Linked DNA regions of Arabidopsis thaliana. The protein of the gene in region 2 interacts with the protein of the main gene of each other region in a pairwise test. Each region holds a gene or a part of one and is shown on either strand. Other genes may lie near its edges. The genes, in order: AT5G07580, MYB62, AT2G31730 and AT1G66810.

What was found.
Region 1: the proteins of MYB62 (region 2) and AT5G07580 interact in a two-hybrid assay, tested with the Arabidopsis thaliana proteins (one large-scale study listed by BioGRID).
Region 3: the proteins of MYB62 (region 2) and AT2G31730 interact in a two-hybrid assay, tested with the Arabidopsis thaliana proteins (one large-scale study listed by BioGRID).
Region 4: the proteins of MYB62 (region 2) and AT1G66810 interact in a two-hybrid assay, tested with the Arabidopsis thaliana proteins (one large-scale study listed by BioGRID).

Annotation. Positions count from the first base shown.
Region 1 is NC_003076.8:2,395,967-2,403,373, forward strand, and holds AT5G07580 (ethylene-responsive transcription factor), read left to right. Parts: upstream 1-3,759; coding exon 3,760-4,383; downstream 4,384-7,407. Other genes in the region: AT5G07570 (glycine/proline-rich protein), read left to right, coding at 1-363; AT5G07571 (Oleosin family protein), read right to left, coding at 600-702, 929-1,215; AT5G07572 (uncharacterized protein), read left to right, coding at 947-1,297; AT5G07590 (Transducin/WD40 repeat-like superfamily protein), read right to left, coding at 5,746-6,113, 6,225-6,332, 6,430-6,502, 6,589-6,810, 6,913-7,401.
Region 2 is NC_003070.9:25,599,542-25,607,845, forward strand, and holds MYB62 (myb domain protein 62), read left to right. Parts: upstream 1-4,134; 5' UTR 4,135-4,300; coding exon 4,301-4,454; intron 4,455-4,542; coding exon 4,543-4,672; intron 4,673-4,766; coding exon 4,767-5,343; 3' UTR 5,344-5,640; downstream 5,641-8,304. Other genes in the region: AE7 (MIP18 family protein (DUF59)), read left to right, coding at 271-412, 843-936, 1,021-1,120, 1,447-1,492, 1,601-1,698. UniProt on the Arabidopsis thaliana protein: Transcription repressor of phosphate (Pi) starvation-induced genes. Negatively regulates Pi starvation responses via the repression of gibberellic acid (GA) biosynthesis and signaling.
Region 3 is NC_003071.7:13,484,936-13,493,450, reverse strand, and holds AT2G31730 (basic helix-loop-helix (bHLH) DNA-binding superfamily protein), read left to right. Parts: upstream 1-3,771; 5' UTR 3,772-4,112; intron 4,113-4,759; exon of another isoform or gene 4,760-4,855; 5' UTR 4,856-4,857; coding exon 4,858-4,974; intron 4,975-5,083; coding exon 5,084-5,149; intron 5,150-5,226; coding exon 5,227-5,292; intron 5,293-5,378; coding exon 5,379-5,423; intron 5,424-5,500; coding exon 5,501-5,668; 3' UTR 5,669-5,901; downstream 5,902-8,515. Other genes in the region: AT2G31740 (S-adenosyl-L-methionine-dependent methyltransferases superfamily protein), read left to right, coding at 12-95, 192-239, 326-387, 513-561, 783-1,032, 1,114-1,238, 1,331-1,411, 1,486-1,560 and 3 more; AT2G31725 (FAM136A-like protein (DUF842)), read left to right, coding at 6,060-6,188, 6,610-6,747, 6,822-7,004; AT2G31720 (B3 domain protein (DUF313)), read left to right, coding at 7,476-8,417.
Region 4 is NC_003070.9:24,926,715-24,933,132, reverse strand, and holds AT1G66810 (Zinc finger C-x8-C-x5-C-x3-H type family protein), read left to right. Parts: upstream 1-4,078; 5' UTR 4,079-4,383; intron 4,384-4,490; 5' UTR 4,491-4,513; coding exon 4,514-5,125; coding exon of another isoform or gene 5,126-5,197; exon of another isoform or gene 5,198-5,199; coding exon 5,200-5,520; 3' UTR 5,521-5,887; downstream 5,888-6,418. Other genes in the region: AT1G66830 (Leucine-rich repeat protein kinase family protein), read left to right, coding at 299-1,748, 1,826-2,433; AT1G66820 (glycine-rich protein), read right to left, coding at 2,711-3,040. UniProt on the Arabidopsis thaliana protein: Functions probably as a transcriptional factor that activates genes involved in secondary cell wall biosynthesis. May play a role in both transcriptional and post-transcriptional regulation. Binds to ssDNA, dsDNA, and ribohomopolymers in vitro.

The DNA.
Region 1 (7,407 bases), on a different chromosome or scaffold from region 2:
GGTGCATCTGGTGAAAGTCCACCTTGTTCAGATGTATCTTGCAAAGGTCCATCCAGTGCAGGTGCATCCATTGGATGTTCACTCGATAATGGTGCATCTACTCCAAGTTCTCCCGATACATTTCTTTCAAATGTATTTCCATCCGATAAATCTTCACCGGATGCATTCTCACCCGATGTAGCTGCACTAGTTACATTACCATCTGGTAAAGATCCATTTGATATATCTCCACCCATTGTAGCTCTACTCGATGTATCCCCCCTTGGTAAAACTTCATCCGATGCATATTCATCCGGTATCAGTCCAGGAATTTTCGAAAAGTCTTTCCCTTTAGTAAAACTACAGACAATTGAATACATGTAGTTATAGAAAGAATGGATGAATTAATCTTGAAAGTTTGGTCGATACTGTTTCATAGTGTCTGATATTGATTATACTACGTTTAAAAGGTAAACGATCCTTTTTAATTATGGTCGAACTAACGATCATGAGTTTTTACTGATGAACCATTAAACTACCAAGTAAATTGTTCAAACGGAACACTGATAAATGTTATATGAATGCTTTATTTGGTCCAAATTATTTCTCCAAAGACATAATCAGTTTTTTTTTTCTTGCTTTGTTTTGCTTTGTTTTGTTTTTTGGTAAAGGAAGACGACCTGTTGCACATGTAGTTCACGTATTCTATGACTACGCTCCCGCCTGATATATATTCATAAATAGAGTCACAAATCATGAATTGTAGACGTTAATTAATTTGTCTATGCTCTCACATACGGTATTTAGTTTGAAGTTATACAGGTATAATAAAACGGTAAAAATTCAGATATTTGTCGTCACCAAGATAACCCCAAATGCTAGATCAACGCCTAAATGCGCAAACAGATTAATATAGAAAGTGAATGTTTTGTAGGTTAGTGTTACTTACTTATAGAGCCAAGTTAAGATGGTGAGAGCCGTCAGACCGGAGGTACCTCCAGCCATTAAACTTAAAGCAAGAACGGTGGCGGTAATACCCGCTGGTACGAGAACAGGGCTGAATACAAGGAAGAGCGGCATGGAGGCGGCTAACGCCATGGCTGTGCCAACTAGTGATAAACCGGCCAGCAACAAGAGGAATACTGCGGCTGTAGAGGCAAAAAACGCTATCAAAACACCCTTAATCGTCGGCTTTGGAGATCGTAATCTCTCGCGTTTTTTCTTGCGAAACAACATTTTTAATGGCCAGAAAATATTCCTTGTTTTATCGGATGGTTATGTTGTGGGATTTCATGAATTAGGAGAGTGGATTTTATGAATAGATCTAGAGAGGTATGGTCTACGTGCACGGCACGTGCTTTACCTCATGCGTAACGATGCAAGTGACTGTTGAGCTCTACGTTACCTCAATGCCTCTTCTCCTCTCTTTTTTCTGTTTCCCTAGCTAATTTTGTTGGTTTACCACATTTTTTCGTCCTCTATTCCTTGTTTCCTCGCTTTCTTGTAAAATAGTTGTAGGTATTTTGGTTTATATTGGGATATTGTTTGTGTAGGTTGGTTTGACTAATCTAGTTTTCATTATAATATGATTGAATTATAAGTTATAACCAAAATCATTTTGATTCGGATTGACTAGACTTTTTTTCAAAAAAAAATTAGTTAGATCTTGGTGTGGTTTTGATAGAGTTTGTTTACGTTGCGTATTCTTACATGTGTTAAATTTCCATGGTAAAATGAATAAGTATTGTAGCTAACTTTGAACTGTTATAAGGACCTAATTAAGGTACATAAATTGTTAGTCAGTTTCAAGTTAGGTTTAGTAAGTGTTAACAAACAGTTTTAAAGTCGAGTTCTCTCAAACTTCTTTTTTTTGATAAAAACTGCTCTCAAACTTATGGCGATCAGAATCATCAATTAGACCAAAGAGAAGAATTTTCGTTATCCGATTTCCAAATACAAGAAATTCATCAAACTTACACAAACAAAGTAACTAAAGCAATGCATTTAATATTGTTATTAAAGGTTCAGTAGCTGTAGTAGTATGTGCGAGATGAGTCACTTGATACAATTCAATTCATACTGAATAATGTTGGTGGTTGAAATAGAACAGTCTCTTCTGTTTGATGTTTCCGATCTTTTGTTTATTAGTACAAAAACAAAAAAAAAAATACTTCGTTTGCTATGTATATCAAAATCCTTAAATAATTTATTTTCTTACGCATAGATTATGGATGGATCATATTTTTCTGATAGGAGGAAAGTTCACAATTTTGAATTTTCACAACTGTTAGCTGAATGCAAAATACAGGTGAAATGTTCGCCGGTAAACTTTTTATCTGAAACTAGTTAAAACTAACAGACTCGGTAAGCATAAAAGTGATTAGCATATCATTGACAACCAATAATGGATGATGGCGCAAAGACATCCAAGTTAATCATAATCTATGTTCACATTATTATAGAGATTACTATTATTATTTTGGACAAATCTATGTTCATATTATTATTTATGCAAAAAGAGGGTGGATTAGGTTTAACTGTTGTGGAGCCCTAAAAATTAATTAAGAATCCAAAAAATCAAGTTGCTTCAAATCATTTCCCACCAGGAGAGGCCTACCAGGAATACAACTTGATTGAGCTGTCTTTCCTCTTTTAAAATTTATCCATTAGGAAGCTTTTCATATAATTTTTTTTTTTTTTTTGGGTATGAAAATAGAAAAGTCTTTTGAGATTAGTATCCAAAAAAAACAACGATTATTTAATCGGACGTTGTTTGATCAGAAATGGTTTACGAGAAAGTCGGCATATTATTCGATTTTTCATTATTTTCTCGATACATTTTTTTCATTCGAGTCTAATTCACGTATGTTAAAAAGTTATTTGATGTACAAATAATCCAGATTATTCGACCTAGTCGTATCAGAGTTTCGAGATAAAGTTGTAAAGTTGGTTAGAAATCCTTATGATATCAATAGATCAAATAACCCTAGTTAAAGCATCAAAAAATCAAATCCACCTACGTAAATGCTTAGAGTTACACTCAAATTTTGATTTTTTAATGACATCTCTTCATATGCAGAGATTGTTTTTATGTGGAAACACATAGACTAAATGGCTTATCTTTAAATAGAAAGTAAAAGAGTGGAAGTGAAAGAAAGAAAGAAAAAAAAAAACCAATTTATTTGTCATTTATTATTCTACAGAATGGCAGAATGACTATGTAAAAATTTGATTCTGTGAAATTTCGTCATTATGCATAATACCAATAATTATAAATAGCGAATAAAAACAAAAACAATAATGGGATGTTTAGCAAAAAAGAAATAAAAAAGCAGTGCCGTTGAGAATCAAATGGTTTTTAGTAGTCAGCATCAAAGGTAAAAGACAAGTTGAGCATAAATCATATGAGAAGATTCATCGTTAGAACCAAAATGTAAAAAAGAAAGAAAAAAGCTTAGCTTTTGATTACAGTTTTGTGCAGTGTGAAGTGTCACATCACACAACAACTTGGGTGAAGGAAGGTCCTTTCAAAAAGTTGGACGTTGTCTTCATAAATTTGTATTAATTGATCACAGACTCATGACCCCATCTCTAAAACCACTAAGAGAGCGACAAAACCATAGCTTTTTTTTTGTGTCCCTACCCCATCCATGGCTGCTAAAATCTTGTGATTACCTTCTTGTCTCCTTCCTCTTCTCTTTCCCTCTTTTATATAAGAACCAAAACATCCACAGCTTTTGTTCCATCATCACTTGCAGATTCTTTCTCTCTTTCGTAAAAATGGCGAGTTTTGAGGAAAGCTCTGATTTGGAAGCTATACAGAGCCATCTCTTAGAAGACTTGTTGGTTTGTGATGGTTTCATGGGAGATTTTGACTTCGATGCTTCTTTTGTCTCAGGACTTTGGTGTATAGAACCACACGTTCCTAAACAAGAACCTGATTCTCCAGTTCTTGATCCGGATTCTTTCGTCAACGAGTTCTTGCAAGTGGAAGGGGAATCATCATCATCATCATCACCAGAGCTGAATTCATCGTCATCAACATATGAGACTGATCAGAGTGTGAAAAAGGCAGAGAGGTTCGAAGAAGAAGTAGATGCTAGACATTACCGAGGAGTGAGGCGAAGGCCGTGGGGGAAATTTGCAGCAGAGATTCGAGATCCAGCAAAGAAAGGATCAAGAATCTGGCTAGGAACATTTGAGAGTGATGTTGATGCTGCAAGAGCCTATGACTGTGCAGCTTTCAAGCTCCGGGGAAGAAAAGCCGTGCTCAACTTCCCTCTTGACGCCGGGAAATATGAAGCTCCAGCGAATTCAGGAAGGAAAAGGAAGAGAAGTGATGTGCATGAAGAGCTTCAAAGAACTCAGAGCAATTCATCTTCATCTTCCTGTGATGCATTTTAGCATATTAAGAGTGTGAGCAGTTTCCTTAAGTTGTATAAAGTAATTGTACAGAGGAAACGAATTGTGTAGGTTTAGTGTGCTTGCAAGTTGCAACAAATGTGTATGGATGTTCTGTTTCTTCATGTCCCTAAGATTTAGAAACATCTTCTTATTTCCAAGAAAGTTATTCAGTTTCCAGGTCTCTAAACAACCTAACTAGTTATTAGATGTTGTAATCCATTAGTCAATGGTTTATGAAACAATCAAGTTCTCAATCTCACACATAGAAACTTCACTAAAACAGCTACAAAAAGTGAGTGTACCAAGAGGAGAAGGGGAAGTGAATCAAGATGAGCAAGTTACATGAATGTAGCAGGCTAGCAGCAATGTTTGTCTTCATAGGTTAGGTACAAGTCAACACTCAGTGATAAAGGAACTGGACCACAAGCTACAGAGACTTGAAAGAGAGATGCACAACTTGCAAATGCAGAATAAACAAGTCAACACTCAGTGATAAAGGAACTGGACCACAAGCTACAGAGACTTGAAAGAGAGATGCACAACTTGCAAATGCAGAATAAACAGAGCAGAGATATTTAGTTAAATATCTACTTCTCTCTGTTTACTAAATGGTTGAGTATTAATAACACTGAAACCAGGATACCATTTCCTAATCTCTGTCTGGTTTCCTAGTTTCAGTGGTATTTTTCCGGTCTAGACCCTTGCTGGGTGGACGAATCCTAGGCCAAAATGGGATCTATATATTTTTGAAGTGAGATATCTTATAACATCCATAGTGAGCTAACCTGGTTTGGTTTTAGATTGAAGAGACTTTCTTCAAGGGTTGACTGAGTTGTCAATGCAAGGCCCACCATATTGGACCTATTGGTCACCACTGCAAGAGTAAACTTGTAAAACAGTTACAAACAATGGCATATACCAGCATATCCCATTAGTACATGGAAAAGGCAGAACAAGTCACTCTTCTCTAATCAATCATTCTCCATAGTTCCAACGAAATACTTGAAGAAACTCAATCATATCTATCTCACTTTTGACAAGCATAACACTTCTTTAGTCTGAATACTTTTCATGTTACTACAACATAATGGATGCATCATTATTCATTACCTTCCAACACAGAGTTTTGGTGGATGCCTTTATCTGTTGAGTCCGCCATCGACCAACATCAAGCAGGAGCCTATTTCCTGAAATGAGAACTTTAGTTTGTTGGGTCAAGGACTCAACGGTTACTCAAGAAAGCTTCTTTATACATTGAAAAATGTTTTTAACATTCACTAGTAAATGTCGCGGAAAAAAACACTCCTAAAATTGAAAGACAAACAAGGCTGAAACTTTTACAAAGAACCACATAAGTAATCTTCAGTCATCAGAACTGTAGTCGCTGGACTCAGGCAGAGACGGGACCGTGGCACAACAGAACGCATCTTTGTCTTTGAGAAGGAGACAGCTTCCATCAATGTTCCATTTGAGGTCCGATATGGAGAAGCCCGGAAGGGGATTGCATACACAGAAAGCACCCGAGGGAGTCCACATGTAAAGGTGAGAGCTTCCAGTGCACAGGAGGAGGCGTGTGCAGGTTGGGTCCCACACAGCTGCTCGGATGGGTTCCTTCTGGACCAGGATGGCTGCAACCTCGAGGAGGCGCATGTCCCATATCCACAGAGCAGTGGGCATACTGTCGTTTCGTGTGCATATGTACTGGCTGTCTTTGCTCCAAGCTAGAAGGCCTGCGAATATTTCAAAAGAGTTTAGCTTTGGAAGTTAAAAACAAGAAGGAAATTTCGAATATCCGATTGCAGTTTCCAAGGTTGCATTTGGTCGCAGAAGAAAGAGCTTACCGACTCCTTGTTTTGGGTTAGGCTTGTCCGCAGGAGGTTTCTGGAAAGGAAAAGCTACCGGTAATTCCATGACTTCATACCTGACACTTATATAGCCTTCTGAAGCATCTGCACATAGAACCACAGAAGAAAACAAGATAAGGTTACAAACAAGAAGAATGGTACGGAAGTTTTCGCTATCAGAAAGTTTTGGAATCGTTGTTACCATAATTGCTTGGCATAAAGTTTTCATCCAACGATAACTCAGACATATCAAGCTGTAATGGTTCATCGATTTCCTAGAAAAATCATGTCCACTAGGTTAAATACACGCCTAAATCAGGCTGTTACCAACCTTATTGTCAAAGAATGGAAGTGGATTTACCTTGAAAATAGCCGCAGAACAGGGCGCACGAACCGTTGATAGGTGTAAGAACTCAGCGAATGTTTTCCAAGTAAGGTGATTCAGGACCCGCAACATTTGATCATAGCTACCAATGGCAAGAAACTGACCACACGGAGACCAGGAAACAGTCTTGACACCAAGTCCACATTCATATGCCTGGTACTTAAACAGACACCTACCATCTGGAGAATAAATTAGAACCTGCCCAAAAGGTACAAATTTTAGAGATATCTCCAACAAACCAAACATAACAAAATTCCAATAACTATCTAAAAATAGCATCAATACCAAAACGATACATACCTTATATTCAAGAGGCGAATCCCACACTACAATAGAACTATCATCAGGTGACCACTCAAGATCAGCCAAGTCCAAGGTATCAACAGCAAAGCTACCCATTATCTCCCATGATTGACAAGACAAAAGGTTAACATAATCCTTACAGTCACGCCGTGTACATATAGCCGCAAACTTCCCATCTTGATTGAATGAAACTCCCTTGGAACCATGCTTTGGCCACTGAACATGAACACACGCCGTGTTTAAAAGAGACCAAACCGTTAACCGCAGCTGAAACTCTGACGTAGTGAGTATATGACGGCTATCTGGACTCCACCTAGCGTATGAAATACCAGCAGGACCTTCATCAATCTTGCAAGTCCATTCTGGTTGAGTCAAAGACCAAGCTTGAATCATCGGTTTTTTATAAAGACCACAAAGAATGTACTCTGAATCAAGAGCCCATTCTATGTAGCTTATTTTATCTAAGCAAGAAAACAATTGCACAACCTGCAT
Region 2 (8,304 bases):
TCCGATTTTTCTTTTCCTGTAAATTTAAATTTTCTTACAAATTTCTCAAAATCGCAAAATCTTTGCCTCTTTCTTCTCTAATCGAACTAAATCTTAAAACTTTGCTGATTGATTGATTTTCGATTCCGGTATGTATCTTTCTTTAGTTTTCAATTCGCTGCTTGCTTCTTCCCTGGGAATTTTAGGGTTTTTAGGGTTTTGTAATTTCCGATTGAAAAGTTTCGTGCTTTACGAGTCTCTGTAACTCAATTTTTGGCAGGGAGAAGAAAAATGGTATCTGGGTTGATTAATGAGAACCCTATCATTTACCCAAAGAAAGAGAGGCGTCTTCGTACTGATACAAGCATTACTGATGAGCTTACACCAGAACCAATTGATCAACTTGAGATTTTTGATATCCTTTCTTCATCAAGTTTTCTTAGAACTACTCTAATTGCAAACCTTAATTGGTGAATTGGTTTGATTGTGTGTGATTGTGAGGATGTGATTATCGTCTTACAGCTATTAGCATCTGAAATTAAGAGTAGCTAGTGTATGCATAGGTTTTGGAACAACTTGACATGCCTCTTAGCTTGAAGTTTGCTTCTTTACACTATTAGAAGTCATGAATCTTTTGTTCTCATATGCATATCTTTTCGAAGTAGGTGTTGGAACCATTTGACATGCTTCTTAGCTTAAAGCCTACCTATGAATCTTTTGTTCTCGAATGCTAAATTTCTTGTAATTATGCGTGGTATCGGTTTGGTAATCTGTGAACAAATGGAATCTATGTTTTAGTTGATACAGAATGATATTGGATTATTTCTGTTGTTTTCTTTAACAATACACAAATCATATAAGAGATATCAAAGATCCAGAGCATCCTAATACTCTGGAAGATCTCAGAGTAGTTACAGAAGACTCAGTTGAAGTGGATGATGAGAACAGTTATGTTAGGTAAAATGTTGGGATTGAACGTTTTGTTATGGATTTTTAGTGTTCCTTTGAGCCAATCTGTTGAGCTCTACCATTTCTTTTCAGGGTTACGTTCACTCCAACTGTCGAACATTGTAGCATGGCAACCGTTATCGGTCTTTGTGTCCGTGTGAAACTTCTACGAAGCCTTCCTTCTCGATACAAGGTACAAAGCTTTCTTGTTATTTCATTTCTAAGATTTTCCGGTTCCCTTTTCCTGTAAGTTTGTCAAGATGATCTTCTGAGCCCATTTTCTGATTTATACATTATCGAGAGTGGTTTGAACGTAACTGAGATCCAACACATGTTCTCCTTGTGATGATATATGAGGCAGAGAAATTTTTTAATTTTTCATTCTTAATCAACTGTTCTTGATACTTGCGAAGAGAAGATAGCCCTAGCCTCTACTATATATAGTTAGGACTGCCTTAAAACACACTCGCACAATGTTTTATGTGCCTCAGTCCTCTGAAACGAATCTTCATTTTTCAGATTGATATAAGGGTAGCACCTGGTTCTCATGCAACAGAAGATGCATGTATGTCATTTTTCAATATCTATCCATCTTTTTTGGTATGCATGTTTTGCTTTACATCGAGTGTACTTCTTTAACATGATGTCTGGTTTCTTGGTGTTTAAAATGCAGTGAATAAACAACTAAACGATAAAGAACGTGTGGCGGCTGCACTAGAGAATCCAAACCTCGTGGAGATGGTTGATGAATGCCTGCCATCAGAAGAGTGAATTGCTTTTATTTTCTTGTGAGCAAGTAATTTACACAAGCCTGGTGGTCTCAGTTTACACTATCAATACATGTCTCTGTTTTATTTGCAAAGATTTTGATCCATCACATCGACTAGGACTTGCATTGTAATACTTACTCTGATTTCAAGTTTGTTCTCAATCATTTCAATAAAGTCTCAAACACAAGTTCTTTTTAATAAAAGTTGACGTGTCATTTCGATTTCAAAGTACATATACATCAATCAAGTTGGGAACTTCACATCTCTCTCTCTCTTAATGCATTATTACAAAGTCAGCAAATTGTTTATGAAGCAAAAAGCTGTTTTCTTCTTCTTCTTCTTAGATGTATTGATATATGAAAAAGGAAACAACGATAATGAGATGGATATTTTTGGAAAGGATATGTAAACTTGAAACACACACTTTCTTTTTGTGTCCCAACTTATCTTTAGGTTTTCGATTATCCAGAGTATATGATGTTTATTGTTTCGTTGTATAATGTATGGGACTCGAATCATACTTTAACAAGAATCTTGTATATAGCAACTTGGTCTCAAGATCAACCTAGTTGCATAACTTGTAACCCTCCGATAGAATCTTGCAATCATATATATCTTGTAGATGTTGACGAACTCGAGAATCGGGTAACAATCAATCATCTTCTTTTGTAGTCTCGTGATTTGATTATTGTCGTCGTTAATTGTTATGCTATAAGTAGAGTTTAAATTTGAAAATATGCGTATGTGAGTTGTAGACGACAAAAAATATTTAAATTTGTTTACGTTAGTCCAATTATATGGATAATATTTGAAGGAAATGAATGTAACTGTAATTCTATAGAACAAAAATGACTGTTACTAATAACATAGTAACAATTATGTCATTGTTGATTATATAATAAGAGAGGATAATGAAGACACAAATGTCAAATCGACTTTGTTTTCTTTATTCCTGGTCTTTAGGCTTTATTTACATGTTGTTTTGGTTTTTGGGAGTTATCATCTTCAAAAGATTGGGTTGAACAGTAAGTGAGAGTTATTAGCAATACCATAAGTTTTAATACATGCACATAGACATTTTTTGACTTGCCGGTGTAAAGCGACACGACCCTTCCTTATTTTTCCAAAATTATTATTTGTTTAACAAAATATTATACAATACGATTTGAGCTAATGAAAACTAATATAGGAAGAAGAATCTTTGAATATTCAAAGTTTGAAAGGATAATATGCTATACTAAGTCCGCATAAATTAGCTGGCTTCTAGAAAATTGTTGTTAAAAATAGCTGTCTTCTAGTTTTACCATTTACATAAAAGTTACAAGAATTTATATCATTCATTACACCATATGTAATATATGGATATGAATTCGGATGATGCCACATCGACCACAATAGCTCAAAGCTACTAAACAAAAAGTCTTGACTCTTGATCAAACATTTGGAGTGTTTATTCCAATTTTTGGATTGTTTTGGTACAATTTTTATTTAATCAATAATTTGTGGGACAGTGGTTTATTAGGTTTTGTAATATCTTGTTTGTCTCGAGTCAAGACACATGTATCATGTATGCTTCTTGTTCCCATACCAATAATTATGTTAAACTATGTTCAATCTCAATATTCAGCAACATTACCAAATAGAAAACCAAAATTTTTATAAAAACTGTTAGCCAAAGTTGGGATAAAGACAATTTTAGAAGTAGAAGAAAGAAAAATGACTAGTATACACTATCACAGAGGTAAGAGTTAAAAATGAACTCTATAGCATATTATGAATATGACTATTGTAAACTTTTCCTGTATAGTTAATTTAGTATTTAAGAATCTAAATCGTACTTTCTTCTTCCAAAATTCTGTTCCATATTCTTTTCACGTGAACATCTAATCCATAGAGTTAAATCACCAAAATTCCATTTCTGTTTCATCGTCGCATAAAAAAGTTTATGAAACTGTATCGATATATTCTATGCTTCTAATGAATTATATACTTGGACCAGGGTTCATCGCAGGATTCGACTAATCCAAAACTTTTTTTTTTAAGAAAGTCATATTTAACTGAAACAAAAACCAGATGATTTAAAAAAAAAATGTTTGCATATATCATATATGTGTTGGCTTTTGAACAATGGTAGCTCGAAAAATAATTTCAGAAAAATTGCATGCGTAAGATGAAAACAGAGACGCGATTAAGAAAATGTCAATGAGATATTTTGTGATAACAAATACTAATGAGTTAAAACATGTTTTTTGACAATTTTAGAATGTATAAATGTCCTTGGCAATGTTAAAAAAATAACAATATTTTGTATGAGTTAAAAAGAGAAGCTAATTTAGTAAAACAATTTACTTTAATTTGGAAACGTGTGATAATTAATTTTTCATTGGAAAAAAGCAAGCTGATGGCTAAAGTAACAACATTTTCCAATACCACGACCACGAGTCTATAAATTCCCAAGAACCTGTTGAATCACTTTCACTTCTCAAAGCACCTAAAAGTCTATCTCTCTCTCTCTGTATACAGTCATGCATGCATAGAGCTTAAAAGATACGAAAACACCACAAACCAAATATCATTAAGTAATTAGGAAACTTAAACTAAGTATGGAAAATTCGATGAAGAAGAAGAAGAGCTTCAAAGAAAGTGAAGATGAAGAACTAAGAAGAGGGCCTTGGACTTTGGAGGAAGACACACTTCTCACAAATTACATCCTCCATAACGGTGAGGGTCGTTGGAATCACGTCGCCAAATGTGCTGGTAATTAATCAAGAACTTGATATTGGTTTATTAGTTAGATTCTCTGACTTTACTATATAATCACTATCTTTAACAAAAATGAGAACAGGGCTAAAGAGAACTGGGAAAAGTTGTAGATTGAGATGGTTGAATTACTTGAAACCCGACATAAGACGAGGGAATCTTACTCCTCAAGAACAGCTTTTGATCCTTGAGCTTCACTCTAAATGGGGTAATAGGTGAGTGATGAGTCACTTTCATATCTCAAGAGTCTTTTATTTTCTTTTTTTGTTTTTTTTTTCTTTTTTCCTAAACGAATATTTGTTATCTAAGGTGGTCCAAGATTGCACAGTACTTGCCAGGAAGAACGGATAACGAGATCAAGAACTATTGGAGAACAAGAGTTCAAAAACAAGCTCGTCAACTCAACATCGAATCTAACAGCGACAAGTTCTTTGACGCTGTTCGTAGTTTTTGGGTCCCTAGATTGATCGAGAAGATGGAACAAAACTCATCCACTACTACTACTTATTGTTGTCCCCAAAACAACAACAACAACTCTCTTCTTCTTCCTTCTCAATCTCACGACTCTTTAAGTATGCAAAAAGATATAGATTACTCGGGTTTCAGCAACATAGACGGTTCTTCTTCAACTTCTACTTGCATGTCTCATCTAACAACAGTTCCACACTTTATGGATCAAAGCAACACCAATATCATCGATGGCTCGATGTGTTTCCATGAAGGCAATGTTCAAGAATTCGGAGGATATGTTCCTGGCATGGAGGATTACATGGTAAACTCGGACATCTCAATGGAATGTCACGTGGCGGATGGTTATTCAGCGTACGAGGATGTTACACAAGATCCCATGTGGAATGTGGATGACATTTGGCAGTTTAGGGAGTAATTAAGTCGTCAAGAGATGAGATGGTAGAGCCTACCACTACGGTTCTATTATATGGACTAATATACTTCTTTTGCTTAACTAAGCAAAAAGTTTCGAACCTTTTACCCATATTATCTCGGGTTGGAGACTAGAACATGTTAAATTTGTATCTTCTTTGTTGCGAGTACTTACTAAGTCATTGGATAAATATTTATAATGATAGTTTCTTGTACAAGTCTTTGAATTCATGAAATCTTTTATCAATGTATGGAATTTTATGAAGTTTTAAACTTTAATCATATTCTTTTCGGATTGGAATTGAAACATGTTAAATTAGTCTAAATTTTTCCTCTTAGTTGGTGATCAAAGTCAATGTTTGGATAATTATTTATAATGCTTGTTTGTTTGTTATATAAGTCTTTAAATTCAAGAAATCTTGTATCAGTGTATGGAACTTCAATTTATGAACTAACCAGGTCAATTTTATACATGACTAGACTTAAGAGTAAATAGTAAAGGGTAGTCTCTTGTCTTGAAATCTTTGAGACTTGTGTGGATTTTAGTGAGAAGAAAACATATCTAATCTCACCTCAACAGGTGAAATAACCCAAAAGCTAGGAGAGTCGATCTATCCAAGATATTAAAATGATGGGGATAGAGACTCAACCATCTGTCCCTTCACCAAATTTGATGTGTTTCTTTGTAAGATCGTTGACAATATTACAGGGCATTTGGCTTGATTGACATAAATCGTTTTTTTGTGGAATTAACGAATCATAAATAATAATAAAAGAATTGATTACATAGTTGAATGCTCTTACATAAAGTTTTAATATATACGCATTTAGACAAACCATACAAAAGTTTTAATATATGCGCATTTTGTATACCAGCAGTAATCAATGTTGGTTCAAGAAGATAATAGAGACAAAGGACCCATCAATTATTTATTATAATTATCTGAAAAGAGCTTCAACTAAAATGATAGAGAAAGGTGGCTTTGGAGAAGTCTTGTTAATGGGATCGAATTATTGGAGGTCACTTCAAAAGCCTTTCATAAGTACATGGAAACTCCACAATGATTTGAACCCAAAGGGTACCACTAAAAGTTGGAACAAACATTGATGCACTTTTGAGAGGTTATGAACGATAGATCACACTCATTGTGTATGTAAAGATTTTAGTATTTCAGACAATATACAAAAAAAAAAAAAAAAAAAATTCCTTATGATCGAATCCAGAAACGTAGATGGTCCTGCTATGGACGTGGAATTATAAAATTGTATAACTTAAAGATTAAATATCTAAAACTGGTGGATAAACGCCAAATACTTTTAGAAAAGACATGAGTAACGTGGACCCAATTTGAATAGAAACATTACTGTATAGGTCAAATATTCATTAATTACGGATATATGTTAGTTGCAAAAAAATTTCAAATTTTGTAAGAACATAATCCACGCGGCCAAATCATTTGCATCTTCAAAATTCATTTCCAATGACAATGATCTATATATTGTGGAATTTTAATTGCATAAAATCATATATATTTTGAAAAATGTTTTTAGTCAAGTAGTTAAGTGTCTATTTTTGCGGTTTTCTCCAGTTACCCTTACCCACACAAAATAAAAAGTGGGCTATCGATCGGACCTTCTCGACTGATATGGTATTAGAGTGAAACCAAAAAAAATCATATTTTCCCAACTTAACAAGCACATTTATTTTAATCACTGTAATCGAAATTCTCATGTTCAAAAAATTTTTGGGAAACAAATAAAGTGAAGTCATGTTTGGTCTACATATCACCAAGCTTAATCTTTATATTGTCTGAATAGTTTATATATCTGCGGATTGGTCGACCATACAACCAGGCAGATAGTGAGACCAAACCTTGATCTTAAAATAGGCAAGTTCAATTTAAAGTGTCGTAGAACTGTATGGCTTGTTAAGGTCGAGATGGGCCAAACTAACATTTCTACTGCAATACTCATTTATCAAAAATTTGGAGATACGCAGAAATATCAAAAGTTATGAACCGAAATCGATAGTTCCATCGGTTGAACCCGAAAAGAACATCAGGGAGAAAAAGACCAAATATTTCAGTTCACACAAAATATATTAACGTACAATGTTCTAATCTTTAGTTTGGAGAAATATGTCTTTTAAATTACTTTTTGGTTAAGAAATACTACAAACCAAAAAAAAAAAAAAAAAAAAAAAAAAAGTCTTACTACAAATAATGGGGAAGTAGAGTGGGTGGCACTGGTATATTAACGTTGGTATGGTTAGGTAGGCCGTAGGTTAGTATGAAAGACTAGAGAAAGTCAAAAGTCAAGATTATTGTTTAAGAAGAGGCACCAACTTAAGAACACCAGCTGGTTTAGTTCATGAAACAAGACATTTTACAACAAAAGTTATGACCATCTCGTAAAGTAAACAGTGTTGTTTTGGCACCAAATCTTACAACCACACGTTACACGTATTACGCATATATATATATATGCTCATTTTCTTGTTCCGTGTTTCCGAGTTCATCTTGTTCACATTGTTCAAACAGATTATATCTTCACTTCCATAACTATTATAGTCAAACCTAAGACATGAATAGATTGTCATGTTTCGGTGAATAGTGAACCAACCTCGTATCTCACATGTCGACTGTGTAGAGAGCATAGAAACAATGAACCATCCCAATTTAAGAAAAATAAAAAAAGGAATTGAAGGATAAGTGAGGCCATATGCACTCTGCACTAATACACATGTAGAGAGCATAGAATCAAGTATAGTGAAAGAGTACGATAACGTCAGCAGCATTATCCTTAAATCCCAAAGGCAAAGGGCACCTTATTCCTTCCTAAATCGAGTAATATTTCCATGTGGTTCTATGGTTCTTTAAAGAATATTCATACACGATAAAATCCACATTCGTCGAACCAATTATTAAACTTTTGAGCAATGTAGAGGTAGAAAATAAGATTGAAT
Region 3 (8,515 bases), on a different chromosome or scaffold from region 2:
TTAAATTTCAGACTCGTGCTCATGAGTGGCTGTTCTGTTCAGAAGAAGGACAGTGGCAGGTTGTCGAGAGTTCTCAGGCCGCTCGTCTCATAATGGTAAGCTTTTTATGGTAAAACCTCTTTATATACACCATGTTACCGTGATCTATTTTCGGCATGAGATTCTAAACACATCTTAATTTCTTGATGAAGGTTTTTCTCGACAGTAGCCATAGTGGAGCCACCATGGAGGATATCCAGGTAGGTACTATCTACATTTTGAGTTGTCTGATGCATTATGTTGTTTACTTATTGATCGATTTTATCTGGTAACTTATTCATCTCAGAATGATTTATCTCCAATGGTGACACAACTAGCTCCCAGAAATGATGATGAAGCTCGCATTCCGTATGTTTATCGGATTTTTTTTTTACTATATTCTCCATGATTTTTGGTGCAACAGTAATCCTAACTCATTTTGTTTCCGCCATTATTGCTTGTTAATTAGTAGTTGAATTGAATTGGTGCTGTAGGTATATGATGGCAAGTGATGGGATAAAAAAGCGTGATACTGTCCACGAGGTATTATTACTAGATATACCCAATTAATCACTTAATAAAACTGTTATTTGTTGTCTCTTCTATTTCTCGCCTTTCACAAATATGATCATCGTTTCCTTTATTGATCTCCGTGATTAGACTTTTATCCACCACTATTTTAGCAAATTTTAATACTACTGATTGGTTAGAATACGTAGTTATGGGGATCTTTTTTGTTTCTTACTATTCATTTCGATTTGTAGGTTACATCTCCTATGACTGGGAAAGTGGTTGTTGAAGATGTGGTTTATGAAAGCGCTCCTAGTAATTTAGAAGACTTGTCTACTTCTAGTGATTTGGCATTTCGACGACTTGTATTCAAAAGGACTGAGGGTTTGATACAGTCTGAAGCTTTGCTTGTAGAGGATGGTGAGATTCTTGAACAGTCTCAGAAAGAAAAAACTAAAAATGTTTCCCAATCGAAGCGAAAGGGAAATAAAAAGCAAAACCAAGGTAAAAATCGTACTTCTGTAAGTGTTTTGATACATTTCAGGTGAAAAGTTTCATGATCTTTTTTACATGTATCCATTTCAGAACCGAGCAGGCCTCTTATGAGGGTCTCTCATGATTATCTGGCTAGCTCTTACCACACTGGAATTATTTCTGGATTCACATTGGTATCTTCCTACTTGAAGAAGGCTGAGTCATGCGGAACGATGGTGAGCATTATTAAGTTGTGGCCTCACGGTGCAACCGATCTGAATCTTTTCTTTGCCTTGTACTGATCCAGAAATGTTCTGATGCTTTTCAGGTTAAGACTGTTGTAATTGGTCTTGGAGCAGGATTACTTCCCATGTTCCTCCATGGATGCTTGCCATTTTTCAGTATTGAGGTAATTTCAGTTTAAAGGATTAATCAAGTTGAGTATTTTCTATTGCCACTCATATTCTGTATCCTGTTGAATAGGCGGTTGAGCTTGACCCAGTAATGCTTAGTGTTGGCAAGGATTACTTTGGTTTCACACAAAATGATCGCTTGAAGGTAAAATTCTCCCTCTTTACAACAAAAGTGCTGGCTAAACTTTAACATGTTTATATTCTATTCTATTATATGCACCATCACTCAGCTCGTTCGCATTCTTATAATAGGTGCATATTGCTGATGGGATCAAATTCATTAGAGATATAACAAACTCTGAAGCTTCGTCTGAGGAATCGTCAAACATTGGCTCAAATGGAGATTCAACCACTCACAATACACAAGGTGGAATTTGTCCTGACATTTTAATTATAGATGTGGATTCAGCAGATTCAAGGTAAAAGACATGGCAAGTAAATTCACATATCTATGAATTTACCCACATGGTAAGCCTGATTGTTTTCTTGTTTGATCTCTTGTCTGCAGCGGCGGATTAACCTGCCCTGCATCTGATTTTATCGAAGAGACATTTCTTCTTTCGGTTAAGCAAGCTCTCCCTCAGCACGGTCTTTTCATAGTGAATTTGGTCACGAGATCACAGTCCGTCAAAGATATGGTAGTATCAAGAATGAAAAAGGTAAAGCAAATGTGATTCATTCCTTGTAAATTCTCTGCATATTTTCACAAATCTGATCTGATACTATTGCACGGAAATTGAGTCATAGAATTGATCTCTATTGTTTTGTTTTTTGCCAAGGTTTTCGATCATTTATTTGGCCTGCAACTAGAAGAGGAAGATGACGTAAACGTAGTGCTCTTTGGGCTTTGCTCTGAATCTGTAATCAGCGAGAACGATATTCCAGAATCTGCAGTTATACTGGAGGGATTGCTCAAGTGCCAGAGATTGGAAACGAAGCAAAGCATCATAGACGCTACAAAGAAGCTGAAATGCTGGAAATAAAAACATTCTTTATTATTTCGTTTTAAAAAGACGTGTGAGATATATTTCTGTTATAAGTTAAGATTGAAATTTTTGAGACTATATTATATACAATACACCTAGTTTCGTCCATACGCAAATGGAAAATGAAGCGTGGAGTTTTTTTCATAACCTTTATGATTGTTAGACCTACCAACTTATTGAAGCATTCAATTTGGATGATAGTGAAGTTGGAATGTAAGTTAAACATCAATGTCTTGATTAATTTTGTGCATTTTTGGGAACTATCCGTATTGTTTCTGATTTGAGTGATCTTCCTTATTGTTGCTAAGAAATGCTCGAATGGTGATTAGCATAATTGCTGTTTATTCATTGGAGCTATAATAATTATGGTTGTAATATTGTAATTTGGGAAAGAAAGCCTTTGATACAGGCCGATTTTGGTACGTACGTAAGAGAGATATAAATTGAAACACCTAAACCAAAATCTGGTCGCCGCGAAGACAAAAGAAAAACATTTGTGGCAAAGAAACAAATTCAGAAACCGCGTGGGTCCGATATGGAACGCTGATCAATTGGACATTTGTAAACATTTCAAATATTTTGCATGTAATCAATATTGTTGTTATATTTTTTGCCTTTTAGTTATAGTTAGGTTTGTTTTTTCTGTTTGTTTGGTTAGATTCAACTATTTGTTTATGCTTTTCAATTTTGGGTTAGTATTTAGCTGTTTACTTTGGAGAAACAAAAGAAGATAGATTCTGTTCCATATAAACAAAAAGCTGTGTCGTTGAAACTTGAAAATGTGAATATACTCGGATATCAACCAAAGGGTACGCTGCATTAACCAACCTCCCTCGTAGAAAATTTCAAAGAAAGGATAACAAAACAAGAAAAAGCACAAAGTTGAAAAAGAAGTGACAGATGCAGAAGAATTGGTCAAAATCATTTTGACAAAACTACATAAAAAACAATCAAATGTCACTTTCAAAATTATTAGCTTATTTATTATTTTATTATGAAAATAATGAAAGCGACTTCTATCTGGGACTGGTAAAAGGACCTCTCTCACCATTGGTTGTACATTAGCTGTCAAATTTTTACATTTCCATTACATTCCCTAACTCCAAATATATACACTAAACTAAATTCTTCAAGTTACTTCCTAATTACTACTATAGTAATTATTTCCTAACCGTCAAATAGTACTGAATAACACATATAATATAGTTTCGATTGATTAAGAGATTTGAATTAAACAGAATAAAGTTTTACGATTATATATTCTAACAATTTATTTGTCTCACAAAAAAATCTATAGATTTAATGAGAATTAAATGAAGAGGACGAAAGGAAAAACAAAATGAAGAAAAAGACATATGAAACGTAGTCCCCTCTTTTCTTTGCTTTCTTCTCTACATAAAACTAAAACTCCTCTCTTTCACGACCCTTTAAGTAACGACGCCGTTTTCATCCAAACACAAACCTCTGGAATCGTGTCACCGTTGGAGCTCCGGCTTCATTAATGGCTTTCTTCAAGACCTGAAGACAAAAGAAAGTAAAAATATATATACACTAGAGAGACCAAGATCCTCGTTTATGGGTTTCATCGTGTCTTGTGCTTAGGGTGACATAAATACCCATTTAGAGAGCTTAGACCAAGAAGTTTTAGAGTTTGTGAAGTTACTTGTTGGTTAGTCTGCTGTTTCTGGCAAATGCTGAGTCTCTTCTCTCTGTAAGTTCTTTTTTCTTCATTTACTCTGTTTTGTTCCCCATTTTTGGTCTTTTTGACTTAACTTAGAGTATTTTAAGGCAAAATAAAATCATGAATCTTTTGGTATTTTTTGTTCTCATCTTCTTGTGGGGTTTTTCTATTGAAGTTTGCTTAGCTTTGAATCTTGTCTAATGGAGCTAACTCGATCCAAAATAAAAACACGTATAATGATTAACTAGTTCTGCTCATTAGATGAACTAAATTAATGAGTTAATTCCGTAGTTTCATGCATCCTACAATGTATTGTCTATGTATGGAAGCAAAGTATGATATCATATTTAAACATCTATGATTGTGCTACTAAACTTTAAATAATACTTTAAGCTGATGTGATCTTATATGGATAACCTCTGACCATTATCTACTTTCTTTGACCATTGCTCTTGTTTTCTAATCCAAAAGTCGTATCTTCCAATGCATTAGTTGGTCCAAACCTAGATTTGCATCCCTTAATTTGTAGTAGTTAACATCTAATTTTGATGTTAAAACCAAGACACCACTTTGTTTGTCTGGTCTGAGAATATCTCAAGGCGTATAGTTTTGTCCTTATGACGCTTGCAAAAGCAAGTTGTTGAGTTGTAATCTTATGTTTTTTTCTGCAACTTGCCTTGGATGAAGCCATGAGATTATCTTTATAAATGGTAGCAAGTAAACCGGTTTCTTATGTCGAAAAACCGATCATTTTTGTTTTGTTTGATGACAAGGAATGGAATACTCTAGAGACTCGGCAGAGATGATGATGGAGACTAAGCGCAATGTCTACTCGCTTGAAGATAACAAAATTAAACGACACAAGTCATCTGATCTCTCTTTCTCTTCCAAGGTCTTGTGATACATCAAAATCAAAATTCATTGTGGCTATGAAGCTACCGGACATTTCTGTACCAGCATGCTAATGATCTTGAAACTTTGTTGTTCTGTGGTTTAAACAGGAGAGGAAAGACAAATTAGCAGAACGTATTTCAGCTCTTCAACAACTAGTTTCCCCTTACGGAAAGGTACTACTTGGTCCGAAATAATCTTTCTTACACGCTCTTTGTCTTCTCTAGCCATGTTCAAGTCTCTATCTATGCAGACCGACACTGCATCAGTTCTTCTAGAGGGAATGCAATACATTCAGTTTCTTCAAGAACAAGTCAAGGTCTGCTCAAGTTTTCTAATCAAATACTTTTCATTCATTCACCTCCTCCAATCCAATGATGATTATGCTTGATTTTCTCTGTTCAGGTTCTAAGTGCTCCTTATCTGCAAGCAACCCCTTCTACTACAGAGGTGAGCTGAATCTATGATCTGGATCTCGTTTACTTGGATCACAATGCAAGACTGATATTTTCCATCTCTGTAACTAGGAGGAAGTGGAAGAGTACAGCTTAAGAAGTAAAGGGCTATGTCTTGTTCCATTGGAGTATACATCAGAAGTTGCTCAAACCAATGGTGCTGATATTTGGGCTCCTGTGAAGACTCCAACATCTTCTCATGCTTTTAATCTCTCGTCTTCTAATTCGCCCTTTCAATGAGCTGCTGCTAAATTCTCTGTCTCAAGACTAATGAAAATTAGCCAAAGCTTTGGTCTGATCATGTATTGATGGAGAGACCTTGAAGTCGGTGATGGCTGTTTCTGTTATTTTTTACTGCTTAATCCCAACTCTGTGGTGGCTTCTTGTAACAATTGATTCTAATGCGAAGTTTAACGGACCGGTCAATGACCGGAATTAGCTTCCTGTTTAATAAAGTTTGAATTGGTGAAAAAGAGTTAACCGGTTTAGAGAAACCCGGGAAACTTAACCCGACCCAAAATTGTCAAACCCGTTTTGTTTGCGGCTATTGAAGGATCTTCTATTGAAGAGAGCAGCTAGCTAAAACCCTAAAGCCCTAAAATCAAAATTACGCTAAACAGAGAAGGCGACAATGGATCACATCGCTGCGGCGGAAGAGCAAATCGTATCGGAGAGACTTCGAAGAAAGCTTGAAGAAGTTAATGTAGCTGCTCAGACTCAGCTTTCTCCTATCCAAGATCACATCAATTTCACCCTTCAGGTATATACAAAAATCTGTACTTTTCGCGAGCTCAGCATAAATTCTCTCTGATATAACAATTTAGCAATGTTAGCTTCTGAATATGGAATCTTTATTGGTTTGATACAATGCTAGTTTCAAATTTGATGAATTGAGTAGGTTCATGAAAAAAGTCTGAAAATTTGCATTTGGGTTCGTACTATATTCGTCTTTAGACACTATGGATTAGGTTCACGACAATTGCTCTGGTTTAATTACTATATTGTGCTCTGTAGGATATTCGATAAGTAGGCGTGTCTCGTTGCATAACAATTGCTCTGCTTTGTCTTCAGAAGCATGAGAGTTATTAACACCTTCTCTTGTGTTTTTGGGTTGCTATATTGAGTTATATGATCCGTTGATTCAAATTAATTAAACCCTGACAACGATATCATTGTTGCAGCAAGCTTATTTCAAATGTGCATATGAGTGCTTTGATAGAAGAAGAAAGCAAGAGGAGATAAGTAACTGCGTCGAGCACTGCAGTGTTCCCGTTGTCAAATCTCAACAGTATTTCGAGAACGAAATGGCTCAATTTCAGGTAAAGATATCTGCTAAAAGATGATACATAGTTTGCTGTGTATAAAGACTGATTTTTGTTGAATGAATGTATAGGAAAGATTGAACAGATCACTGGTGGTGTGTCAAGACAAGTTTGAGGCCTCAAAGCTCCAGAAGATAAGGCCTGAAGCGGTTAACGAGATGGAGAGTTGTGTGCACAAATCCATTGAGGAAAATCTCAATACATTACCACATATTGTGCAGAGAATGAAGACAGCATTTAACATAACCAACTAAAAGCTCTCGTGAAAAACCTTGGATTCCAGAACTTGACTAGCCATATTGTTTGAAAAGACCTTTTCTTTTGTCTTAATATGATCTACAAATTTGTTTTCCTTTTTCTTATATTAAGTTTTAAAATTTGCCACTGTTTTGGAATAACTGTATTTGCTTGTTCTTCATCTTCCCTAGCGAAAACTTTAAAACTCTATAAAAAAAAATTGAGGATAAATACATGAATTTAAAGATTGAACCGAACAAAAGAGACTAACCAATAGAATAGAAGCAAGTAATTTAGTGAATATCTAAAACTAATATAAAAATATATAGAGATTATCACTAACAAAAAAAAATAAAAAATAATAGAGAGTTATATATACCTTTGTTCGTTTGTGAAAGGAATTGACAATCAGAATCATATAAAAGCAAGACTATAAACTCCTCTCTGCCGCTTAACTCTTTCTTCTTGTCTCTCTATTTTTTATAACAATGGTGAGAGGAGATGATCAACTTAATGGTTTGCAGGGAGGGAAGAGAGCGTTAGATATTTTATGTGTAGCGACGGAGAGAACGGTTAGCGCTTTTGCATATGAGGAAATAGGAGAAACATCCACTGAAGGTGATAAAAGGAGGGAGAGACTGAGAAGACTGAGAAGATTAATTAATTACAGTCTGAGCACAACTATGAATTCCAGCTTGAGCAAACGACTGAAGATTGATGAGTGCAAGAATCAAGACCCGGAACAAAACCCTAATCGTGTTGCTTCTTCTCCAAGTTCGTGCCATCTAGAGTCCAAGAGGCCTCAAAAAGTGGTTTCAAACAAACCGGTAAGAAACAGAAAGCCGGTTATAGTGACAGATGAAGATAGGACACCGACGGAATGGCTGATTGACGTGATGAGAGAAGTGAACGGTATGGATGCAAAGCTGATATTTGTGAAGGTTCTTCCCAATAGTGATGTCGACGAACTTCAGACACGTCTTATGATGCCCTGGAAGCAGATACTAGATATGGACTTCTTAAACGAGGAAGAGTTAGAAAAAATAGATAGACATCACAAAAAGATTAGTGCCAGTGACAAAGGAGCGGATGTGATCGTGGTGAATTCTAAGGGTCTACAGAGGAAGCTTAAGCTCAAGAGATGGGATATGACTTCCACTTCCAACTACGTCTTAGGTTTAGGATGGAACAAGGTCGTCACCGATAACATTCTACAGAGAGGCACTAGGCTTCGGATCTGGTCCTTCCACTCCCCAGACATGCTCTTTTTCGCCTTCGTTCTTTCAGATCCAGATCCAGCTCCGACTGAGTGCCTAAATTTATTGGCTAAATTGTGCGAGGAGACGACTTGTCTCGAGGCTTTACAAGAGGCAAATAGGATGAGCTCACTCGTCTCGGACACAGAGCTGGACCTCGAGCTCCGGTTGTAGTTAAGAGTTTCCAGCAGCAAAAAACAGCTCTTCTAGCTCTACTGCCGAGGTTTGCCATGCAAGTATTTTTTTTTCAGACACTCGATGTTGAGTTAAAG
Region 4 (6,418 bases), 670 kb from region 2:
GAAACTAGAAAAGCTATTCCTCATTACCTTACGTGTCCCCTACTGTTTCAATTATAGCCTCAATCATCGCTAATTCCATTGACATGTAAATGAGGTATATACAATTTGTTTGATGCATGAATTTAGATATAAGTTTCTTCAAACATATAAATATCTTCAAAAAATTTAGAATTGATAAGAAGTTAAAACTGTTGACTTGATTGAAAACTAGGCCAGTCCAAGCTATATAAACACTAATTTCTTGGAGATATTTAGGAGCCAAACTTTACTCAATTCAGAATTGTGTCTCTCTTTAGAGATGTCTCAGTTATTTCTCATTCTCTGCTTCATTCTAACTCATTTCTTTGCCATAGCCACTTCTCTAAACGATCAAGGTCTTGCTCTTCTTTCCTTTAAACAATCCATACAAAACCAGAGTGACTCTGTTTTTACCAATTGGAACTCTTCAGATTCAAACCCTTGTTCTTGGCAAGGTGTTACATGTAATTATGATATGAGAGTTGTCTCGATTCGTCTTCCTAATAAACGTCTTTCGGGTTCTCTTGATCCATCCATTGGAAGTCTCTTGTCCCTTCGTCACATTAACCTAAGAGACAATGACTTTCAAGGGAAGTTACCTGTGGAACTCTTTGGACTTAAAGGGCTTCAAAGCTTGGTGCTTTCTGGAAATTCTTTTTCCGGGTTTGTCCCAGAAGAGATTGGTAGCTTGAAGAGTCTAATGACTCTGGATCTTTCGGAGAATTCTTTCAACGGTTCGATTTCTTTGTCGCTTATTCCATGCAAGAAGCTGAAAACGCTTGTTCTTAGCAAGAACAGTTTCTCTGGAGATCTTCCAACAGGGTTAGGTTCTAACTTGGTTCATCTTCGGACACTGAATCTTTCTTTCAATCGCTTGACTGGAACGATCCCCGAAGATGTAGGAAGTCTGGAGAATCTGAAAGGTACACTTGATCTTTCTCATAACTTCTTCTCAGGTATGATTCCAACAAGTCTTGGAAATCTCCCTGAGCTTCTCTATGTCGATCTTTCTTACAATAATCTCAGTGGTCCGATACCAAAATTCAACGTTCTGTTGAATGCCGGTCCAAATGCTTTCCAAGGGAACCCTTTCCTCTGTGGATTACCGATAAAGATTTCTTGCAGCACAAGAAACACACAAGTAGTTCCTTCTCAACTATATACAAGAAGAGCCAACCATCATTCTAGACTCTGCATCATCCTTACAGCCACTGGAGGCACAGTCGCCGGAATCATTTTTCTTGCTTCATTATTCATCTACTATCTCCGAAAAGCATCGGCTCGTGCAAACAAAGATCAAAACAACCGAACATGTCATATAAACGAGAAACTGAAGAAGACGACAAAGCCAGAGTTTCTCTGTTTCAAGACTGGGAATTCAGAATCTGAAACGCTAGATGAGAACAAAAATCAACAAGTTTTCATGCCAATGGACCCGGAAATCGAATTTGACCTCGACCAGCTTCTAAAAGCCTCGGCTTTTCTTCTAGGGAAGAGCAGGATCGGGCTTGTGTACAAGGTAGTTCTTGAAAATGGATTAATGTTAGCCGTTAGACGATTAGAAGATAAAGGTTGGCTACGGCTCAAAGAGTTTCTAGCTGATGTCGAAGCAATGGCGAAAATCAAGCACCCTAATGTCTTGAATCTCAAGGCTTGTTGCTGGTCTCCTGAAGAGAAACTCCTGATTTATGATTACATACCAAATGGTGACCTTGGTTCTGCAATTCAAGGTAATTTTAGTGTCAAAATCGCATAAATCTATGACCATAGTTAAGATTCAAGACTGATTCATAAAAATTTATGACAGGTAGACCTGGTAGCGTGTCATGCAAGCAACTAACCTGGACGGTCCGGTTAAAAATATTGAGAGGAATAGCAAAAGGATTAACTTATATTCATGAGTTTAGTCCCAAAAGGTATGTCCATGGACATATAAACACAAGCAACATACTTCTAGGACCGAATCTTGAACCGAAAGTATCCGGTTTCGGTCTAGGTCGTATCGTCGACACGTCTTCAGATATCAGATCAGACCAAATCTCTCCCATGGAGACAAGCTCACCAATCCTCTCTAGAGAATCATATTACCAAGCTCCTGAAGCAGCTTCAAAAATGACTAAACCGTCTCAGAAATGGGATGTGTATTCATTCGGTTTAGTGATACTCGAAATGGTAACCGGAAAATCTCCGGTTAGTTCAGAAATGGATTTGGTTATGTGGGTTGAATCGGCTAGTGAGAGAAATAAACCGGCTTGGTATGTTCTTGATCCGGTTTTAGCTCGTGATAGAGATTTGGAAGATAGTATGGTTCAAGTCATCAAGATCGGTTTAGCTTGTGTGCAGAAGAACCCAGATAAAAGACCACACATGAGAAGTGTATTGGAGAGCTTCGAGAAATTGGTAACTTCTATTTAATTATTATTAATTAATGAAAAGTAATAATTTTAATTAGATTATGTGTTTACTTCATAATTTTCAGATTACTTCATAAATTTCATGTGATAATTTTTATGGTTTTTCTGTTAATCATTCATAATTGTGATATTATTATGAAAAATAAAAGGACACAAGGGAGGATATTTTTATTGAACTTATATAATTAACAAAACTGTTAATACAGTACAAAATTAACATAATGCTTTAAAAATCTTTTACCCAAACCCGACCCGGAATTATGAACCGGAGCTTTTTTTCATAGGTCAAATCTCTCTTTGATGTCATCGAAACTGTACCCGCCGCCAACTCCAAATCCGTATCCAAACCCGAACCCGATACCACAACCAATACCGAATCCAAGAACCACGTTAGAATGGTCAAGTCCTTCAGAGGCACCTATTCCGAGCCCGCCGGAGAGACCAATGCCGATTCCAGCGCCGCAGCCAATGCCGCCGCCGATTCCGGGACCGACGGTTGTTGTCTTGATGTTATCGATTTGTGTACGGAGGAATCTGGTAACCGGAAATTCTGATTTCCCGGTTTTGACGTCTGGTTTACGGCTCCAGAGTTTATTAGTTGATCCCATTGGTTTTGTGATTGGGCAAATGACGATCACTGAATTGTGAATTTATGAGTGATGAGAAAATCAGATAAGATTTGAGAAAAAAGATGAATATGCGTTGAGGTATTTATTGGGCTTATTGTCGCATATATTGGGCTTTAACCCATTTAAGTCTCTACAGATTCTCTCCTATTTATCAGTTTTTTTTAATGATAAAAGATACACATGAGATACAAATTCTTCAAGAAAATGTTAAATACAGATTTGGATTAAGTTATATGATATTTTGTTTTTAAAATGTCGTAGAAAGGGTAAGAAGGTAATTTGGGCAGGGTTGTTGGGTTAGAAGGAAGGAAACATTTTCTAGTTAGTTAGCTACAACGAAAGATTTTGATTGAAGTATATTACACATAGGAAAGAAAGAGGGACCATAGTTAGTTAAAGTTGTGCTCTTTAAGCAAACAAAACTCACATATATTCCTTACCTTACTACGGTCGTTAACAACATGAAACTAAACATACATGCATATATCAAAAAACCAATTTAATCATCAATTCATTAACTATTCTTATTCATGATTGGCCCAACCAAACTTAATAAAATGACCTATTCTTCTTTATTTTTGTTTCTTCAAACACACCAATACATACTTCCTTATTCTCCAAGTTACAAACAAAACCTCCCCTCCTAACAAACTTTTTGTTTCCATCTATTTTTTTTTTCAAAATAGATTTTTGCTTGAGGTTCATATTTATATACTTGCTTAATGAATATATTATTAATGTTTTAAGCTATTAAATACTCGAACTAGTAAACCTCCTTTGGGATGGAAGATGCATGTTATTGACTAAATATGATCTACCAAATGGATTTAACATTTTTTATGGTGAATATTGTCACTATAATCTTAAGCTTAAGAAACTATACAGCAATATAAATAGAATATTAAATTTTGTTCTCACTGTATGTGTAAAACTAAACACTAGTTTTGTTGTTGAAGTTATCTAAAAAACAAATAATATTCTGTTACATAGAAATCTTTAACGGTTCTGAAGTTGGCGCGAAAGTGAAAGTAGGTGAGAAATATTCCTCTACACTTCACTTAACCATGAAGAAGCAATTCGTTATCCAATTAAATACACTCGCTTCTCAAACAGATCCTTAAATAATCTCATCGTATGGTCTAGATTAAGTAGCGTAACAATCTTCTCGTAGTCTCTCCCGCATATTATCTTTCTCTCTTTCTTCTTCCTCCTCACCTCTCTGGTTCTCTCTATATATATATATATATACAGAGCATCGTTCATATCTTAATTTCACCGCTCTTTCTCTTTCGCTTCTCTGAGAAGTTTCAAAGCTAATTCAGGTACTCTCTCGCTCTTATTATCTTCTCTGGGAAGTTTCAGTTTCCGATTGTGATTTTGTAGATCTAAACGGATTCAATTTTGTCAATTTCTGTGTTATCTTCTTCAGGAAGCTTTCGAGAAATTGCAACAATGGAGAAACTCGCGGCGTCTACTGTTACAGATCTAGCTTGCGTAACGGCGATAAACTCATCGCCGCCTCCACTATCACCGATCTCTGAACAAAGCTTCAACAACAAACACCAAGAAGAGTTCGCCGCAAGCTTCGCATCACTCTACAACTCAATCTTCTCACCGGAATCTCTCTCTCCTTCTCCTCCGTCCTCTTCCTCACCACCATCTCGCGTCGATACAACTACAGAGCATCGTCTTCTTCAAGCGAAACTTATCCTCGAGTACGACGAACTCAACGAGCATTACGAGCTTTGCCTTAACCGTCTTCAATCTCTAATGACGGAACTTGACTCTCTTCGTCACGAAAACGATTCTCTCCGCTTTGAAAACTCAGATCTACTCAAACTTATTCGTATCTCTACTTCATCCTCCTCCTCCGTCTCTCCTCCGGCGCCGATCCATAACCGTCAATTCCGTCACCAGATCTCCGATTCTCGCTCCGCGAAGAGAAACAATCAAGAGAGAAACTCGTTGCCTAAGAGCATCTCCGTCAGATCTCAAGGATATCTCAAGATCAACCATGGATTTGAAGCGTCAGATCTCCAAACGAGTCAACTCAGCTCTAACTCGGTAATTCTCACTGTAATTTTAAAATTTAAAATTTGTTTTTATTTGATTAATGACGTCATAAATGTTTTGTGAAGGTGTCTTCTTCTCAAAAGGTGTGTGTAGTACAAACAAAAGGGGAGAGAGAAGCATTAGAGCTTGAGGTATATCGTCAAGGGATGATGAAGACGGAGCTTTGTAACAAATGGCAAGAGACTGGAGCTTGTTGTTACGGCGATAATTGCCAATTCGCTCACGGAATCGACGAGCTACGTCCTGTGATTAGGCATCCACGCTACAAAACTGAGGTTTGCAGAATGATGGTCACCGGAGCTATGTGTCCGTACGGTCACCGTTGCCATTTCCGTCACTCACTTACTGATCAAGAGAGGATGATGATGATGATGCTTACTCGCTGATCTGGAGAAGAAGAAAGGTCATTGAAAAAGGGTAATAATTAGTGGTTGTGTACAGATTTCAGATTTGATACCTTATAAATATCGTAACTTTTCTGGGTAATGAATTGGGAAGAAACATATTTGCTTGCAATAGGAATAAGGAAGGGAAAGATGTTAAGTAAATGTTTGATAGGATTATAGGAATATAATTAGGGATGGATAAGAAAGGAGAATTGAAGAAATGTGTGGTTCTCTTTTATACTTCGAGATGTTAATTCTTTTGATATGTTGTTTGTATTCTCTTGGATTAAGCAGGAGAGACTTGAAAAGGATGTTAGATTCAACAAAGATATGAAATTTATATTGATAAAGTTTTCTACTTTGTTCATAAGTATGCAACTTTCTTCCCTAAACTGTTGTGCTGCTATAGTTTTTCTCTTTCTAATTGCTGCAGTGGTGGTAATACATTCATGGGAAAAGATTGATTTGGTTTGTTGGTTATCTTGGTTTGTGTATTTATGTGTAATCTCTGCTTACTGGCTTTCAAGTTTCTGTTTTGCTGATAAACATAGACTAAGATCTTAGGATGGGCATGTGTTAGTTTATGTCGAACTGTGTGTTTTGCTGGTCTTACCATTTGGAGAAGAATGCAGTGATTGTGTCGGATGATGTATTATGTCTCAAGTTGTTCTGTTTATGGTTGGCAAGAGAACAGCAATTTTCTCTGCAGAAAACTGTTTCCTGACGATTTTGTGACTAGAAGTTGTAACTAGTTTGTTCCTGCCGTCCGCTAAAGAAAACTTGGTCTAAGTCATAGGATCTGTATTGTATGACTGTATGTATTAGTTGATCTAAAACTACTTGTTTTGCTAAAATGGTTTCAACTTACAAGGTCGATGAAGTTTGTAGAATGTCATTG